Linked DNA regions of Danio rerio. The protein of the gene in region 1 purifies or fractionates together with the protein of each later gene. This does not show direct contact. Links are inferred from orthologs where the notes say so. Each region holds a gene or a part of one and is shown on either strand. Other genes may lie near its edges.

Region 1 (3,194 bases):
TATAATTAAGTTGGTATTGGGATGGGTTCTAATAAACATGATATTGGTTTAGATGCAGTGAAAGTAATCCATTGTCTTCTACTAGCTAAGGTCATATTATTCCAGCTAATTATTGTGCTCGTCTGTTTAATAGGTGGCTGCAAATGGATCAGAACTCCAGCCATAATTTATTCTGTTCATGTGGCCACCACTCTGGTCCCAATTTTAAGCCACATACTTTTCCACAAGTTTCCTTTGAGTCCACATCCGGGACCCCAAACTTTGAATGAACGTCTGACCCTGGTGTCCATTTATGCTCCGTACCTCATCATTCCCATTATGATACTGCTCACCATGCTCTTCAGCGCAACTTACAACTCACCATCTCTGAAAGGAAATGCTCCCTCAAAGGCCAAGAAACAAAGATAAATGCCAGTTCATCTTTCTACACCCTAAATTAGAGCACAGTATGTATTGATCAAATCCCAACAGGGTTGTTAGTAGTCATTATTTGATAAACGTGATTTAATATGTGCCAAATTTCTCAATTATATGTGACCATTTTTTAAGCTCTAGAAATTGTTTACCGATGACAGCAGATGTAAATGCAAAATATATTTTTATTCAAATGTTCTTCAGATCTTTATGAGCTTTGCCCAATGTTGAGATTACACATGGTAAATGTAAACAAGTAATAAATGAACTTACTTTTCCATAACTTCTACTGAAATTATTTTGGTTTGGTCCCAATAAAAATATCATGAGGATATGATATAATAAAAACGACATGGGTTCAAGTCTCAAACAGGAGTTGTAATCATACAGAAAACAATAGATTTACCTGAAGATGTCACATGATGGAATTATTTACAGTAACATGCAAATACTGTATTTCCCTATTGTAAAAAAAAAGATCAGATTTACAAACTAATTTTCATATAAATAGTATAAATAACATTTGTATATAAATAGTTTCATCTGAGATTATGATCTATGGTTGGAAAGATTACAAGGATGTGCCTCCAGGAACTGGCCATGCAAAAGCACTCAATGCTGTGAGGTTGAGGCTGAAACAGACGTCTGTTGTCTGCCATAACTGCTCAATTCAGTTCATCTAGTTTGAGACCTTGCACTTATTAGGAAGTCAATGTGAATCAAGATGCATAGCATCATTTTTCCTGTCCAGCAGAGAGAGGAAACACAGTGCTCTTATTTCTGCAGTATAAACTGATCAATGAATTCACTCTGCTCAGCTTCCACTTTCTGAAGAGCTTCATATTCTATTCGATACCTGCAAAACAAAAAGACTTTTTAGTCTTGAAGAGAAATTCAGAGCATAAACACAATGCTGTTCACTACTTGAAGTGGCTGTATGCAACATTCAGAAACCCTTGTCATAAGCAATATTGGTGGCCTAAAATGAACGGCATACAGTTCTGGGCAGATTACTTTGAAACTGTAGTCAATTGCTGATTACTGATGATCATGAAGAACTGTGGTTCATTTTAGGTAATGGTTTATGTATTTCAACTACTTTTAGATTACGAACTTTTCACTTACCAACTGATGTAACCACATGTTTATTTTGCTAGCACGCTGAAATTAATCTGTGCTCTGAATTAGTCAATTCAGTGAAAAAGATGTTCAGTGTTTTGATATTCGTTAATTAAATTCTGACCACTTACTATCTACACCTCTGATTACACAAGTTTGGGTGATATATGCTTAACCACGCCCCTCCAACAGTTACTTTGCTGTGAGTGAAAGATAAAAGGAGGAGTCCAAAATGTATGTATGTATGTAAGTATGTTTCATTATTTTAAAATGTTATATACTTCAATTCCAAGTTACAACCTAACTTTCAGAATCTGATTACGTAATGCAGATAACATGTATTTAGTTGCTAACTAGCACTGTGCACATGCCAATGCAAATGCTGTAATAGATTTATGGTGATGCTCTTTCTTTTGTTCTCTTTTAGAAGTAACAAGTTGGAAATTACCATGCAGTAACTGAAAAATGACTGAAAAATAGAACTGAAGAAAAATATCAGACCATAATGATGTATTATGATGTATTATCATATTTACCTTTCCAGTTGCATTTTCTTCTCTGCAATCAGAGCCTGAAGCTGTTGCTGCTGGGCTTCCCGTTGCTTTTCAACCGATTTCAGCAAATTTCTTGCCCCTATGGCCTGAAGGTGAACCATATATAAATACAAAACGCAAATATGCACTGCTAATAGTTTAAAACAACAACGTACCTTCATTTTTTCAGTTTCGGCTTCCTTCGCAAGTTCATCCACAAGTTCAATAAGTCCACCTACAATTTTCTGAAACTGTCCGATCTCTGTTTTCAAAAGCAAAAGGAGAAGTTATTGATCTGGACTGCAAAAAGCAAAGAAATTCAGTTAAGAGAGATAAACTTCACAATGAGATTAAAAAATAAAAAACACTTACTGTCGACAAACTCCTCACATTCCTCTTTGAGCTCAGTTGTTTTCTGGCTCACATCAGGCTCAAGTACTCGCAGTTTGTTGAGCTCATCAAAATGAAGACCAGCCTCTGCTAACGGGTCTTTAGCCATGACCAGAGGACCGTAACCTGCCTGTGTGACTCAATAATGGCTGATAATTATACAGAAACAGAAGTATGTTAAAAGAAAAATATGCATAATTTTATTGTATTCAATACTGACAAATACAGTGTTGATTTTGCAAAGTAAAATGTCTAGACGTGCCAGTATTCAATAATATATCACAACGATAATGAACATACATGCTTTATCACTTTAAAATAAGTAATAATTACTTATTGTTATTGAACTTTCAGAATGCATTTTAAGAATATTCAGTTTGCTGCTTTTGCAATGATGTTCTAAAAAACTTTTTCGCGTTAATCTGATGTACAACATGGCTAAAATGTCATTTAATTAGTTTGAAACGATGTTTTGCTCTGAACATTTATATACCAGCAGGGCCGGAGTGGGACTGCTTTTTAGCCCTGGAGTTTCAAGCCTTAGACCGGCCCACCTCAGTTCACGACTGACTATATTAAAATAACGTCATTTCTAATTTAGTTTCTAATGACAATATACAATCTTTTTCAAGGACACAGCTGCTTTAGAAGTTCAAATGTTTTTCATAAATATGAGAAGATTAAAGGGATAGCTAAATCTCCAACACTATTCTTTACAACGTCCTTTCCTGCAATATC
Region 2 (3,840 bases), on another chromosome or scaffold:
GTTTAAACACATCTTTGACTGATGGATGACCTTGGCATCTTGCAGGGATGTGTTGATGCCATCTTGATGCTGATGCATTTGATCGAGGTGAATCCTCCAATCCTGAAACACAGTAACCCGTTACTCAATCTTCAACCAATGAGTCTCTAATTCACCTTTCATGCATCAAGCATCAACCTTATTGTCAGTGCGGATGGTGACTTTAAGCTGTGGAAGAACTCGCTCCACCTCCAGATTCCATTCGGCAGCATCAACATCTGACTCCAAAACCACTGCAGGCCTCGAACCACTGAGCTCCTAAAGACACACACTTCTACTAGTTATAGAGCACTTTACATACAGGGTTCATACACATTTTTACTACTAAAATTCCATGACTTTTCTATAAACTGTTTATGACCTAATGTTTCATGTAATGTCTACGCATGCATAGATAATATATAATAAAAAAACTGCACTTTCAAATTTATTTTAACACATCATAAAACACGCAACAATCTTACTTACTTACTCCCAGGGCCATTTATATCGAAGATGATATTTAGCCGCACCATATTGGTGTTTCGTAACATCTAGTTTTTATAAGGTAAAACTAGACCCCAAACCCCCAACCTGGAGGACCAGTACACACATACACTATGGACAATTTAGCTTACCCAATTCACCTACAACACGTCTTTGGACCGGAGCACCCGGAGGAAACCCACGCAAACACGGGGAGAACATGCAAACTCCACACAAAAATGCCAACTAACCCAGTCGAGGCTCAAACCAGCGACCTTCTTGCTATGCAACCATGTCACCCACACGCAACAATCTATTAAGTTTAATTTAAATTTTATATCTATGTAAAGTTTATTTAATGCTTACACATGTTTTGGCCAAAGACAGAAAAAAGTATACAGTAGACAACTAACCTATAATTAAGTATACAGATATTTGTTAAACTAATTTTCATGACTTATTCAAAACTTTGAGTTTTTCTGTTGCTATGTCTAAATTTCATGACTTTCCCAGGTTTTTCCATGACCGTATGAATCCTGTATAGATTATAATACGTAGTATACTCATTTTCTTAGCTTGAGTTGATGCTGCTAACTTAGTATAAGGAATATTCCATTCAGGTTTGCATAATGTATTTGTGTAAAATGTATTTTTCAAACAAGACTTACGCCATTGGTTCTGGTCTTCAGTGCATCTAAATCCAGTCCATCTTCTTCCTCATATTCCTCATCCTCCTGCTGAAAATGCACATTTTAATGAGTGTGTCTGTGAGTCACTGTCACTCACTTTACACATGAGTCTGTGTGATTCAATGTCATGTCTTTCTGCATTTCACCTTAGTAGTGATTTATATATATATTAATAAGCATTTATATGATATTTTCTATTTTTGTTGTGGAAACATAATCACAACATAGACATTCTGCCAAATTGTATTCCATTTAACTTTTTATTATTATTTTATTAACATTTAATTAGACCTTAAAGCTCAGCACTTTCATTCCGCTATCATCTTTTAAAAATTTTATCCAGTCAATAGATCAAGATCATTGTGCTTGTTTTTAGATTTTTTGTTTGTTTTATATGTTATTATCTGCATTTGTGAAATTGTTATTGTATTGTGTCTCTACTACTTTGTACTGCATCGGCATCTTTTTGTTGCCTCTTGGCCAGGTCGTCATTGTAAATGAGAACTGGTTCTCAATTGACTTACCTGGTTAAATAAAGGTTATTATATTAACTGTTCTGTTTAAATATCATTTGATGTAGAAAACACACAAAGCAAGGGATTATGTATACTAGAAGAATATTGATATTAATTATTTTAATTGATCATTTTTGCAATAAATGGCCTTTATTTTTCTGAGCAAAAATGAAAATCACATATTGGAACCACAAATTACAACAGACACCACTAAAATGTTTTAGTGACTTTTTATATACCAAAAAAATGTTGTCAGGTACATTTAGAACAAGACTCATTTAATGACATAATACAATGCTCTACTTAAGGAATAAATCGCTGCTTCAAAATATAAATTAATTGTCATTTTAAGCTTTTATACTTTGCCAGTGTCATTTAAACCACTGGATTTTATCCATTTGTCAATAAGAAAATTGTAATTAAAACTACAATAAAATTGTGTGTGATTACTTAGTCTTTTATATATTTTAATAAGTAGAGATCTGTTACACTGACTACGTTTACATGGGCATCAGTAATCAAATCCGAGTAAGACAATAACATGATTAAGATGTTTACGTGAGTTGCTTTTTACATGTTCCTTTAATGATCCTGTTTTACATGTTACAGCACACAATTTGATTAGCTTCATTACGATATCCACGTTTCCTCCAGAGTTTCATGTGATTTTGGATGTTTTGTTTTTAATGTGTTGACTTTAACTGCAGTTTGGCACTTTCACTTTCATTCGGGAACATTTCATGCATGTTCACTTTGTTTACTACCGAGAGGGCATGTCCGCCAATGATGCCTACTTTAGTGTACAGAACCTGCATGTGAATAACATTTAATAAACTTGTAAATAACGTTCAGTTTGTTGCTCAGAGCGATTGTTTGGGAGCTGCACAGGAAATATGATTTGCATGTGTGTGTTTTTTTCACAGTGGCAGCGGCCATGAGCCGCACTCATAAGTGAAATTGAAACCGGCACACACATCATTTAAATGATCATATTGTGTTTTAAAGTTATGATTACAACAAGTATTTCATGTTTTTTCTTTCATAGCGAACACAAAGAGTTGTGCATGCAAATAAATGTTTACTGGGTCTCTGATAATTACAAATGTTTCATTAAAAATGGTCTAATGTTGTCAATGATAAATGATAAGCATATGTCTCAAACACAATAATTCAACTTTAGAATCATGAATATGATGTGATCATTTTACTGTGAATGAACAAACAGGGCAAATTTAAATACTGTTCAAGTCCATCATTCCAAATCTATACAAAATTTAGCATTTTAACGAACAGTAGACCTAATAGACCTAATATTATTATTATTCCATATGTTTGAGAATTAGCAAGAATAATAGCCCACTCATATTAACCTTTATTTAACATCTACAGAATCATGAGAAAATCTGAAAAAAGATCTTGATTTTAAGCAAAACAAATAGTGATTCTCATTTTAGCCTGAATCGTGCAGCCCTAGTGTATAGACTATCCTGTTGCAAAATGTGGCAAAAATCCTACACGATGGTAATAGTTTGATTGTGGTGTTTACATGTCTGTGCTGCACTTCAATAACGCGACTTAAATCAGCATACTCCACACGTCTTAATCTGATTTCTGTTTAATTCGATTATGACCTTTATCAGATTAAAGTAATCAAAAATCGCTGTTTGCATGACTCTTAATCAGAGTATTGTTTTAATTATATTAAAATCGGATTACTGGTGTCAATGTAAACTTACTCGCTGAATGGTGATGGAAAATTCTTTCACATACATTTCGACCTTTTAATTGTTATTGATCACAAATGGTAACTACTAATATAATTACACAAATCCTGATCTAAGTTACTCAGTCCAAGTTACAATAAAACCACTTCTCTAACAGTAAATCTTGACAGACATCAAATATACCTCAGGCTGATTTTTTTTTATTAAGAGTGACTTACTGTCATCTCCTCTTCCACTTTACTGAGTGTGAGTTCTGCATCATCTTCCTGCACACACTCATCCTCCACCTCCACTGATGGGTACAGCGGCCTGACAGACAGAGAATACAAGCTCTAGATGTGTTTGTATACAGTAAGAACAGACAGTTAGACAAATTCGTGGTTCTAAAAGATTTCTGTGCCCCTAAAC

What was found.
Region 2: the proteins of ift20 (region 1) and ift57 purify together in Homo sapiens (affinity purification with mass spectrometry; 3 studies listed by BioGRID and IntAct, counting the BioPlex papers as one, with this or other methods). This does not show direct contact. The link is inferred for Danio rerio from reciprocal best matches to the Homo sapiens genes IFT20 and IFT57.

The regions. Positions count from the first base shown.
Region 1 is NC_133190.1:26,254,611-26,257,804, reverse strand, and holds the end of ift20 (intraflagellar transport protein 20 homolog), read right to left. Parts: intron 2,610-3,194; exon of another isoform or gene 2,606-2,609; 5' UTR 2,566-2,605; coding exon 2,439-2,565; intron 2,329-2,438; coding exon 2,243-2,328; intron 2,174-2,242; coding exon 2,070-2,173; intron 1,271-2,069; coding exon 1,189-1,270; 3' UTR 582-1,188; downstream 1-581. Other genes in the region: tmem97 (sigma intracellular receptor 2), read left to right, coding at 134-408. UniProt on the Homo sapiens protein: Part of intraflagellar transport (IFT) particles involved in ciliary process assembly. May play a role in the trafficking of ciliary membrane proteins from the Golgi complex to the cilium.
Region 2 is NC_133177.1:45,216,484-45,220,323, reverse strand, and holds part of ift57 (intraflagellar transport protein 57 homolog), read right to left. Parts: intron 3,742-3,840; coding exon 3,651-3,741; intron 1,242-3,650; coding exon 1,173-1,241; intron 298-1,172; coding exon 178-297; intron 103-177; coding exon 31-102; intron 1-30. UniProt on the Homo sapiens protein: Required for the formation of cilia. Plays an indirect role in sonic hedgehog signaling, cilia being required for all activity of the hedgehog pathway.